Linked DNA regions of Mus musculus. The protein of the gene in region 1 purifies or fractionates together with the protein of each later gene. This does not show direct contact. Links are inferred from orthologs where the notes say so. Each region holds a gene or a part of one and is shown in the gene's direction. Other genes may lie near its edges. The genes, in order: Crnkl1, Ccdc12 and Ppie.

Evidence for each region.
Region 2: the proteins of Crnkl1 (region 1) and Ccdc12 purify together in Homo sapiens (co-immunoprecipitation; 3 studies listed by BioGRID and IntAct, with this or other methods). This does not show direct contact. The link is inferred for Mus musculus from reciprocal best matches to the Homo sapiens genes CRNKL1 and CCDC12.
Region 3: the proteins of Crnkl1 (region 1) and Ppie purify together in Homo sapiens (affinity purification with mass spectrometry; 3 studies listed by BioGRID and IntAct, counting the BioPlex papers as one, with this or other methods). This does not show direct contact. The link is inferred for Mus musculus from reciprocal best matches to the Homo sapiens genes CRNKL1 and PPIE.

What each region holds. Positions count from the first base shown.
Region 1 is NC_000068.7:145,928,079-145,931,725, reverse strand, and holds part of Crnkl1 (crooked neck-like protein 1), read left to right. Parts: intron 1-297; coding exon 298-456; intron 457-1,025; coding exon 1,026-1,192; intron 1,193-3,426; coding exon 3,427-3,605; intron 3,606-3,647. UniProt on the Homo sapiens protein: Involved in pre-mRNA splicing process. As a component of the minor spliceosome, involved in the splicing of U12-type introns in pre-mRNAs.
Region 2 is NC_000075.6:110,655,016-110,659,416, forward strand, and holds the start of Ccdc12 (coiled-coil domain-containing protein 12), read left to right. Parts: upstream 1-1,487; 5' UTR 1,488-1,547; coding exon 1,548-1,643; intron 1,644-4,401.
Region 3 is NC_000070.6:123,126,487-123,129,970, reverse strand, and holds the end of Ppie (peptidyl-prolyl cis-trans isomerase E), read left to right. Parts: intron 1-2,190; coding exon 2,191-2,333; intron 2,334-2,524; coding exon 2,525-2,593; 3' UTR 2,594-2,856; downstream 2,857-3,484. UniProt on the Homo sapiens protein: Involved in pre-mRNA splicing as component of the spliceosome. Combines RNA-binding and PPIase activities.

The sequences.
Region 1 (3,647 bases):
CTTGGTTCTGGAGTTCCTGCAACTTAGCCTGTTTCACCAAACATTGCTGTTTCTCACTGTGTTTCCTGTCTAGACCTTGACTATACTGCTCATGACCTTATGAAATAATTGCATGCTGTCTCTAAAGACTGTACGATAACTTGAGAACATCATTGCTTTTCCTCTTTTTATGACCAGAAGGTGGCCCATGATAGATAGATGCCTAACAACACAGGAGGACATTGCAGCTACTGTGAGGTGGCTGCTGCATATCTCACGGTTGCTGCCTTTGATGCTCTCCATATCTTATTTGTTAAGGGCTCGATCCATATACGAGCGTGCTTTAGATGTCGACTACCGAAATATTACCCTCTGGCTGAAATATGCAGAAATGGAGATGAAGAACCGCCAGGTCAACCATGCCCGAAACATCTGGGACCGTGCCATCACAACTCTGCCACGCGTCAACCAGTTCTGGTAAGCTGCTCATTGCACAAAGCAGTCTTTGTGAACTAGCAAATACCACTTGATTGGGTATTAGGTTTATTGCAATTATAATAGTTGTATGTGTTGATTATTATATTCTATTTTTTTAAAATATATATACTGATTTTTAATGTCACATAATCTATGAATCATAATTCTAATGTCCCATGGCTATGTAATCAAACTTAAATGTTTAGTACAATTTTTTATTCATAAGAAACTTCTTAATGAAGCCTTCCTCCCCTATGGATAATTCTTTTTCAGGTTTATATTTTAATAAGAAAACATTTGCTTAAACATCTTGGAAAGATAAAACTTAAAATCAACCAGGCAGTGGTGGCACACACCTTTAGTCTCAAGACTTAGGTGGCAGAGGCCCACCTGGTTCCAGGATAGCCAAAGCTACATAGAGAAACCCTGTCTTGGAAAAACAAAGAAAACAAAACAGAAAAAAAAAACCTTAAAATCTTTCATTTAACAAAATGTTAGAAGTGTCAAAGCGTTACTTTTCCTCCTGAGTCATTTTGACCACAGCAGGCGTCTTTGGATGATTTTGTCAGGTATAAGTACACATACATGGAGGAGATGTTGGGCAACGTTGCTGGTGCCCGCCAGGTGTTTGAGCGCTGGATGGAATGGCAGCCTGAGGAGCAGGCCTGGCATTCCTACATCAACTTCGAGCTGAGATACAAAGAGGTGGAGCGGGCCCGCACCATCTATGAACGCTATATCCTTTGAATAAGGTATTAGTGGTACATGGCTGTCATGGGTATCTACCTCCCAAAAAGATGTCACAGTAAAGACATGTAGCTACTAATGTGACATTGGAAACTAGGAAGGCAAGTTTCGTCCCTTTGACAATTTTCTGTAGGGTTAGAAACTGGTCAAATAAAAATGTGTAGACTGGGTCATTTGAGTCTTTTCAGAGATATTGTGGGTTCGTTTTTGGGTTTGCACAAAGTCCTAGCTGCTAGAACCAGAGGTCTGCATTGCTCATTGGCACTGCTAATGGAGCTCATCAGAGTTGACTGCTTACTAGCTGCGACTCCAGCTAATAAATGACTCCAGAGTCATCTAGTTCCTTGAGCCTTTGTGTCTTTTCTATACAAGAAAAATTAAAAACTAAACATGGTGAAGTCTAGGTATATACTCATGTATAGAGCATGTGCCTAACATATTTTGAGACCCTGAGTTTAGGCTTCAGCACTATAGAAAACAGACCAATGTTAACAAGTGGAAGATGGTGTTTGTGAAAACACTGTTAGAAACGGATCTGTGAAGCTCATCACCCAGAGGCGCCTTATTTGCAAATTGCCACACTTACTGAAATTTATTTCGAGTTCTCAATAATTGCTATGCTTTAGCAGTCATTTGCAGACATGTATAGAGCAATGGCTGAAGTCTACTTCAGCAGTATATAGTGATGCCTGAGTGTGAAGTCAGGAGCAACCCACTGTGTCCACAAGGAGTGCTCTCCCTCTCTGAAACCAGTGGATCAAGGTTCTGACACCTGCAGAGAGAGGGACAGCCTAAAGCTAGTTGCTTGGTGCTCTGAGCCACAAACACATGAGTAGATGACTTAGTTGCCGAAGTACTTGGTGCACAACAGGCCCGTGTTTGGATCTGTAGCACGCATTTACAAAGCTGCACCCAGCATATATCTGTAATTCCAACACTGGGGAGGTGGAGACAGGAGGATTCCAAGGCCTTTAGGCTAGTCAGTCTAGTTGAATAAGTAAGCTCCAGGCTCAGTGAGAGGCCCCATATCAAATAATGAGGTGGGGAGCAACTGAATAAGATACCTGATGTCAGCCTCTGGCCTCTTGCACCCATATGTGCTTGTGCGTACACACACACACACACACACACACACACACACACACACACACACACACACACAAGAAAATAGGATGTGCTGGCTTTAGAATTTAACACTGGTCTGTGGGAGATGTGTGCACGCATATTCCTCCTAGGATCAGTGGCTTGGCATTCAGTGGCTGAGAGTTCTTACTGGCTTTCCAGAGCTGCTGTAAGCAGTGAGAACCTTGCTGTGCAACATTAAGATCTTCAGTTGTCTCTACTCATTCCATAGTGGCTTAGCAGAGGCTTGAGGAACACTGGGTTTGTAGCTGATGGGACCCTGAGCTCTTACTACTGTCAGTGCTTGGGAAAACCCTGAAGTGCAGGAACTACCCCATTCAGCAAGTGCGGAAACTGATTAAGCAACTTGATGAGGGTCTCAGGTGGTGGCACTAGGGGTATTTGACCCAGGAAATGAACCTCAGAGCTGATGGTCTTAACATCCTTGCTCCCCTTGAGTGTATTTTCCCTGTGGAAATGATTTGGCTTCTTCAGGGAAGGCTGATGTGCTCTGGTAATAAATGGCAATTGAAGATTTGTCTTTAGCTTTAGATAGCAGCTCTCTTTTTGTGGCAGTTTGTTCTTTCGTTGTGAGTAGACTGTTGTAATGAGCATTTAATGGAATAGGTGCTTTTTATTGGCCATGTTCTTTTGGCCAGAAAGTGCTAAGCTTTATAAACATTTCCTCATTTCATTAAGCAATGATGGGTGAAGTTGATAGTATTTTTCCCTTTCCACACATGAAAAAAACTGAGACAGACATTTTTGTTGAAGATCACATGGTTTGTAACTGGGTTGAGGTTTTCTTTGGCTTCAGACTGTCCCACTGCTACAATACCGAGTCAGCGTTGAAGGGAGGTCAAAAGAGTAAGGTGACCTCTCAGGCTATAGGTTAGTTGCTAGCCTCCTTTGTGTGTGCTCATCCCCACTTGTATTTGGAATTGTTGGAGTTTGGGAGGTTAGTAAGAGTGGGGGTCTGTTGTGTGGGTGTTGAACCTTTGGCATGTGCTGTGCATGCGCACTGCCACTGGGCCAGCCTCAGCCTGTTACTGGCTTAGCCGCGTTGTCCTGCCTGCTCTTTCCTTCACTCCCTGCCCGTACTTGTGCTCGTGCACCCTGCTGTGAAAAACTGGATCAAGTACGCAAGATTTGAAGAGAAGCATGCTTACTTTGCTCATGCGCGGAAAGTCTACGAGAGAGCGGTGGAGTTTTTTGGGGATGAGCATATGGACGAACACCTCTATGTGGCCTTTGCTAAATTTGAGGAAAACCAGAAAGAAGTAAGTCACAATGAGTTCATCTCTGTTTCATTTTATTTGCTT
Region 2 (4,401 bases), on another chromosome or scaffold:
CTATTGGTCCTAGGGATCGATCAGTATGAAGCGCCCTATGCATCTTAGTATGAGCTTACCTTTCCTGAGCACAGATACCCTCTATGCCAGGGGCTGGCAGCCACCCCGTCTCCTACTGTAAGGGAAGGTCCCAGACAGAACCAGGTTAACCCAGGATAACACCGAGCTTAGGAAACGGTGACATTTGAAGGGAGCTGTTAGGGAAGATCATTCTCCTTTGGGCCAGCTTTATAACAGAAGCCCCAGACAGGGAGCCACGTTGCTCATGGGCTTGCCATCTCCTGGAAGAGGAGGAGGAGAAGAAAAGAAGCAAACGCATCTGTGACCATCTGCCGCAGTCAAACTCCTTCTTCTCCTTTTGTTTTGTGAGACAAGATTTCTCCATGTAGTCCTGACTATCCTGGAATTCGCTTTGGAAACCAGGCTGGACTCCAACTCAGAAATCCATCCACCTGCCTCTGCCTCTCAAGTGCCGGGATTAAAGTCGTGCGCCACCACGCCCGGCTCCGTCAACCTCTTTTTATACTGGGAGGAGAGAGTAATTCAGTGGCACTTATTCGGCCCTGGTTGCTGTTTGCTCTTTTTTTTGTTGTTGTTTGTTTGTTTTTCGAGACAGGGTTTCCCTGTATAGCCCTGGCTATCCTGGAACTCACTTTGTAGACCAGGCTGGCCTCGAACTCAGAAATCTGCCTGCCTCTGCCTCCCAAGTGCCAGGATTAAAGGCGTGCGCCACCACGCCCGGCTGCTATTTGCTTTTAAGCAGGTAAGGTAGCCTGACTCTGATTATGCTGCAGCTCCCGAAAGAGATGCGAGATCATTCTTGAGTTCAAAGGAAAAGGCCATGTAGCCAGGCCTCGAACTCAGCAGTTCTGGAGCCAGAGAGTGGATAGCAAGGCTTATGCGCAACAACTCATCAGGCGAGTGAGTGCAAGCTGCCACTGGCACTCTGTAGAGAAGGGAGAGGCTGACCTCAGAGTGAGTTGGGAATGAGAGTGGCCAAGGAAGGTTTCTGGGTGTTTGTCTGGTAGTGGTGCGTTAAGACAAGGTTATCTTACGTAGCCCAGACTGAACCCGACCCCATAATTTTGATGCCTCAGCCTCTGAAGTGCTGGAATTACAAACGTGCACCACCTCACCCGGCTCAGGGAATGTTTCTCAAGGCATTCGCTCTTGAAGAATTGGCACAAGTGGATAAGGATGGCTAAATATTCCAAGAGGGCAGTTAGGAGAGGTGGGTGGTGGTTAGGCAAAACCAGAGCAATCGACTCTCTCTATTCTCTTCCTCTCAGGTCTGATTCTATTTGCTTTCTCACAAATTAAGTGTCGGACAAATCGAATCTTAACGCCTTTGCCCACAACCCAGCCGGCTCACTCGCTGTACAGGTGCTCCAGATCAAGGGGCGTGGACTTTTGTATCAACTCAGCATTGATTGGTTCTCAGGGCTTCCGGCTCTCCATTGTCTCCCTTGGATTGGCCGTAAGACATTCTCCTGCTCACTGAGCCTGCGCGAGGCAGAAGTGAAAAGGAGGTGGGGGCCTCCGAAAAGATGGCGGCTGCTCCTGCCGGTGTGGGCCGCCTAGAGGAAGAGGCGCTGCGGCGGAAAGAACGGCTGAAGGCCCTCCGGGAGAAAACCGGGCGCAAGGTGAGGCACGGTGGAGTGAGAGCTGCGGGTATGGCGGCCAGTGCTCTGGGCCAGTGGGAAGGCGGAGGATTACCAGGGAACCACTGAAGCCAAAGTGCGCGTGCGCGTAGCGCATGCGCAGTGGGACGGCGCTGACCTCTGAGATAGGCTCGTTTCTTGAGTGCAGGGGCGGAGCTCGCGCGTGCGCCTTAGGAAGTCGTTTTCGGGCGACAACCCAGATATTTTATCCATCATGGTAGTTGTTGCAAGGCCGGCTTTTAACTACATGTTTGTTGGGCTCGGCGGTTTTTTTGTTTATTTGTTTGTTTAAGTTTTTGATTGGCCCCATTGGCCGTGCCTTCCAACACCTACCACCAGGGCTCCCTTGGGTAGGACAGCTAGTGACCTTTCTGGGTGGACTGCAGGGAAAGAAGGCTGCCGTTTCTTTCCCGTCTTGGCTTACTAGTCCTATTAGTTGCCAGATTCGAAAAACACTTTTCCTTCCTTTCGGTAGCCACCGAAATATGGTCTGGATTCATCCTTACTTGCTGGTCTTTCCAAAGAAATGAAATTCACTACTTGTGTGCAGATTTTGGCTGTGTCTTTCGACACGGTGAGACTTAGGACAAATTGTTTCATGTTCCTAAGCCTGTTTGTTTGTTTTTGTGTTTGTGTTTTCACTTCTCCAGTAGAGGAATAAATAACACAGTCACTTTTGTGGGTTATTTTGCCATATAATAGGGAAAATCAGTGATTGAGGCTTGTTTCACCACACCTGACCTGCAGTAAGTTTTGAAATTAGTCTTAAGTCGTGTACCTAGTTCCTTCTCAAGACCATTTTTTTTTGGCTATTGAAGTTCTTTTGAGAACATCAGCATGGGAAGCTGGAAGATGTTGGCTCTTTGTTACATAGGCAAAAAAACAAAACAAAACCAACCAACCAAACAAACAAACAAAAAACGGTGTCCCTCATTCAACAACAACAAAAAACATTTGGCAGAGGTGGAGGAAATCAGAGACTCCACTTCCGACTTACTAAACAAAAAAAAAAAAAAAAAAAAAAAAAACCGAGATTGGTCAGTCTCGGTTGGCTTTGTTTTCCTTTCGGAATAGCTGCCTACCTTGTAGCATACTATGAGAAAGCGAAAGGGAAGTAGTGAGAGCGACCGACCGCTGGCCCAGCAGGCTTCTGCTTTCCTTGGCAGCCTAGAGACCCATCAGATGACTACCCTCCTGCCCTTCAGACCCAGGGAGGCGCAGGCTTGGCTCTCATCCTCATCTGTCACTCTCTCTGATACTCTTGAGGCAGGTTCTCTCCAGGAGCCGGAAGCTTGTGGTTGGTTGGTCGGTTGGTTGTTTAGGCTACGCTGGCAGCCAACAAGCCCTGTAGATCCTCCTGCCTCTGCCTACCAAGTGTTGGGATTGAGGCTTGTTCCACCACACCCAGCCTGCAGTAAGTTCTGAAATTAGTCTAAATGGTGTACCTTAGCTCCTTCTCCAGGTTGTTTTGGCTATTGAGGTTCCCCTTAAGATTCCACGTGAAGCTAGGGGCGGTGGTGCGTGCTTGTTGTCCCAGCACTTGAGAGACTCAGGCAGGAGGATTGGTGTCCAGCCTTGGAGACACATTGAAAGGAATCCTGTCTCAAAAGAACAAAACAAAAAAGATTCTATCTGAATTTTGGAATGAGTTTTCCTGTTTGTGTAAAGAGCATTGTTGAGATTTTGTAGGGATTGCCTTGAATCTGTAAGTCATTTGGGACAGTGTCATCATTTTAAATATGTTAAAATAACCAGTCTGTGAGCATGCCTCTCCGTTTCAGTTGTTTTCAGTTTCTTCAGCTGTGATGGTGTCTTGTGTAGGCTTTTTGTTTTGTTTTGTCTTTGTTTTGTTTTTTGAGATAGGATTTCTTGAAGTCTGGCACTGGTTTCATACCCACCAAGAAACAGAAGACCTTGAATTTCTTTTTCTTTTTCTTTTTCTTTCTTTCTTTCTTTTTTTTTTTTTTTTTTTTTTTTTTTTTTTTTTGAGACAGGGATTCTCTGTGTAGCCCTGGCTGTTCTGGAACTCACTTTGTAGACCAGGCTGGCCTTGAACTCAGAAATCCTCCTGCCTCCGCCTCCCAGGTGCTGGGATTAAAGGTGTGCGCCATTGTTACCAACCTCCTAATGGGATTGTCAGCAAGCTGGGTTTTATATTGTATATATTTATATATAAAGCTGGGGAGCTTTTAACTGCGTGCTGGAATTTCCCGGAAGCCGTCTGGTTATTTCCCAGAAGCCATCTGGTTTACCTCTCCTCTGGCCAGGAGCGTGGGTTGGAGAGTTTGTTTAATATTTTATTGGGCTCTTTACACCTTTACCTCCCTGCCAACCCTTATCCCACGCTTATCCCTTCCATTCCCCCCAACACTAGGTAGGAGAGAGAGAAGATTAGAGGGGAAGGTACTGTGGACATATTTCAGCCAACAGAGTAGACTACTTCCTGCTGATTACGGGCATTGAGTGCCTTGGGGCTATCTTTGTTGTCGGGATATCCACAACTTCTTCTCATCTGTTTGCTCCTGACCAGTTGACACACCACAGCAGCAGGAACCCAGAGCGGCTGCCAGTCCTCTCAGGACTCTCTCCTTTTTACCATCTCCAGAGTCCCCAGAATCAAATTATCTGCAGCTGGTAAAAATGATGCCCCTGCTAGAGCACCAGGCAAATCATCTTCACCTGCAGTGAAGCAGCCTCTGATCCCATGCCTGGGATTAAAGCAAGATCATAGTCACAGAAC
Region 3 (3,484 bases), on another chromosome or scaffold:
GATCTTCATGTCTCCTGCTGGCTCCCTTTGACTTATAAACTGTGTTTCCCCTGTTCAGCTAGTTTGGTCCATCAGTGACCAGGCATGCAATCTCAATCTTAAAAAACCCAATAACCACCTTTGGACTCTTGTTCCTTCCACCAGCATCATCTTGACTCTCTACTTTTTAGCAAAACTTTTTAGAAAAAATGTATAAACTCACTGCCTTCATCCTTTCTAAGTCCTTCTATCTAGATTTTTAGCCCCAGCTGGCCATGCAAACCTTTCTTTCTTTTTTTTTTTCGAGACAGGGTTTCTCTGTGTAGCCCTGGCTGTCCTGGAACTCACTCTGTAGACCAGGCTGGCCTCGAACTCAGAAATCCCCCTGCCTCTGCCTCCGGAATGCTGGGATTAAAGGCGTGCGCCACCACGCCCGGCTACACGCAAACCTTTCTTGCTAAAGATACTAACCATCTTTTTTGCCAATAGCCAGTTTTCCGCCTCAGCTTATTCCAGCGTGTCAGCATTCTGTGCTGACAGTGCCATACTCCTGCTCTCTCTGTCTCTGTCTCTCTGTCTGTCTGTGTCTGTCTCTGTCTCTGTCTCTCTCTGTCTCTCTCTCTCTCTGTCTGTGTCTCTGTCTCTCTGTCTGTCTGTCTGTCTCTGTCTCTCTCTGACTCTCTCTCTGTCTCTCTCTGCACTGGCAGGCGGCCCCTCCATCTTCAGCGGCTTCATCTGCTTTGCCACCTTTCTGTCGTGCTGCTTCCTCCTGTTCCATTACTGAGCACGATGGTGGTCAGAGATGAGTTCATTTCTCCCTAGGAACCTGTCCACTGCGCCTCTGTTCTTCCTGCAAGCTTGTGCTAGACTGAAGTACAGGGCCAAGAAGTTCTTCCTGCCTGCATTATCTTACAAGAAAGTATGTCCTGACACACTTTCACAAGAGTTATTCCAACGTGTGCCGCTCAGATGTTAGAAGACAGACAGGCTGTCGCTGGCAATTTGGATACCACAGATGGTATTGCTGGTGCTGACACAATTTTGTGAAATGATGTATAGGATTACATTATAGTGTTAATTCTTGAGTTATTTTTCTTGGTTTGTTTTTGAGACAGGATCTCACACTCTGTAACCATAGCTGACCTGGAACTTGCCATAAAGACCAGGCTGACCTGGAAATCACCAAGATCCACCTGCCTGAGGCTCCCAAGTACTGGGATTAAAGGCGTACACCACCATACCTGGTTTGCTTTTTGAAACTGGGTCTTAGAGTGTGACTCAAGCTAGCACTGACCTCTGGATACTCATGAGTGCTGAGATTACAGACATGTACTGCTGCATACGGCTCCCTAGAAGATTTCACTACACTTAAAGTTTGCCGTTTGTGAAATATAATAGACTTAGGTCTTAACTAGAAAGGTGGCTCAGTGGTTAAGAACACTTGCTGCTCTTGTAGAGGACCCTCAGGCATCACAGGTTAAAATGGTTCTCCTTCAACTCCCTTTATGTCTGAGTTTCAGTAGATAACTGTTCACTTATGCCTGATCAGGGGTTGGGACTCATCTTGGATTCATTTCCCCTGTCACCCTAGTTGCACCTTGTCTCTAGTTCATCTCCTGGCCCAGCTTTCCTCCTTCCCTCCATGTGACTGTCTTAAGCTTCTCCCCAGCACAGATGTCCCTGCATCTCAGTTGTCATAGCACAGTAGCCTTTACAAGAGATGTACTTATCATTTGGGTTGGTTGCTTGTACCAAGTACTTTAAGTGAGGGTCCATGCAGCACAGTCGGTGTGGAGGTCAGAGCACACTTTGAGGAGACAACTCTTTCCTTACCATAGGTTCTGGAAATGAAATGCAGATTGTCCAACTTCCACAGCAAGCTCCTTTCTCTGTGGACCCATCTCCCCAGCTCATACACTTACACTTTAAATAAATATTTTGCTCATCAGTGTTTCAGGATTTAATGGGCCTGGTTACAAAATAGACTGCAAGTCATTGTTATAAATGAAAAGACAAATAAATGTGAAGGAAAAAATAAAAACGGAAACAGCCCACTCATCCTTTTTCTGTAGTGAGGGAAAGACAAGGTGCTGTGTCTGTTAGGACCCTTCCATGGCCTGAGCCAGTATGCAGAAGCACCGGCAGCCATCAGCACATGCACCATGGGCTGGGAGCAGTGTGGAGGGAGCTGACAAGTTTATTTTCTCCTAGGCCTCCTCTCCATGGCCAATTCTGGCCCGAACACCAACGGCTCCCAGTTCTTCCTGACCTGTGATAAGACAGATTGGCTGGACGGCAAGCATGTGGTATTTGGGGAGGTCACGGAAGGCCTGGATGTCTTGCGGCAGATCGAGGTGGGTGGTTGGAAGTTGCTTCCTGCCTGGACCTTGCGTGGGTGGGTGCCCCAGTGGGAGAGTTGGGGAGGGCTCTTGATGTCCTGGAAGGGGGCATTTAGAGCAGGTCCCTGAATGTCTGGGGAGAGGATGATGCTCTAGCGGCTCTCGCATCCTGCGTCTCTCCTGATTTCTCTGTTCTGCCCGCACAGGCTCAGGGCAGCAAGGATGGGAAGCCAAAGCAGAAGGTGATGATTGCCGACTGTGGAGAGTACATGTGAGGCTGCGCTCTCTGCTCCACCTCTGTAAGACGAGGGGAACTGCCTGGTCTGGGCCCTGTGCAGCAAGCTGTGTAGAGCACAAGCCTTTCCTTGGGGTCACCTGCCTTAGCAGCTGCTCATCTGCAGTGCCCAGGCCTTCTGCAGGCATGACTGGGCCTGAAAGCCAGCATAGGCAGTGTGCTGCCGCCACCTGTCCTGAACTGTCTGTAGCTGCTAGGTGGCTTCTTTGCTAAAATAAACTGCTTGTTTTGTTTTTTTTTTTACTGTTGCCTCCTGCAAGTTGCTGAGAGTTGTCTGTTAGAGATCACATCCAAGGCTAGGCTGTCCCCTGAGTGGGGTGGCATGTTTGGAAAGCTGTAATACCTTCCCTGTGGCTTTGTTTCCTTCCTTCCTGGGGCTAAATCCCTTATATGCCAGGTCATCTTTATGCCACATGTCCTATCAGATCATGTCAGGGCAGCGGAAGTCAGAGCTGCTTATCCCTGTTGCCGGTGCTCCTGAACCAACGCTGCCTGTCTGGGGGTGGCCTTGGTGGCTCCCATGTCTAACGTTCACGTTACATTCTTCAGGTCTTTAAAATGGTAGGTGTAGTATGCCTCAGCCAGCTCTGCCAGGTACTGGCTTCTTTTCAGGAGACCAAAGGTTGGCACAGTACCCGGGCATCCAGCAGCTTGCTGCTTGTTTCTTTGAATTAGGTTTTTATTGAGACACTGCCATATCCATTTAAGTTCAGATGCTGCCTGTGGCTTCGTTCTCTCTACAGCGATAGAAGCAAATAGTTGGTGACTGACTTTGTATTTGTGTTCTCAGTGTGTGTGTGTGTTCACATATGTACTGACTAGTGGATTGGCTTGTGCTTGTGGGGTCTGTCTTTGATGAGGCCACCTACCT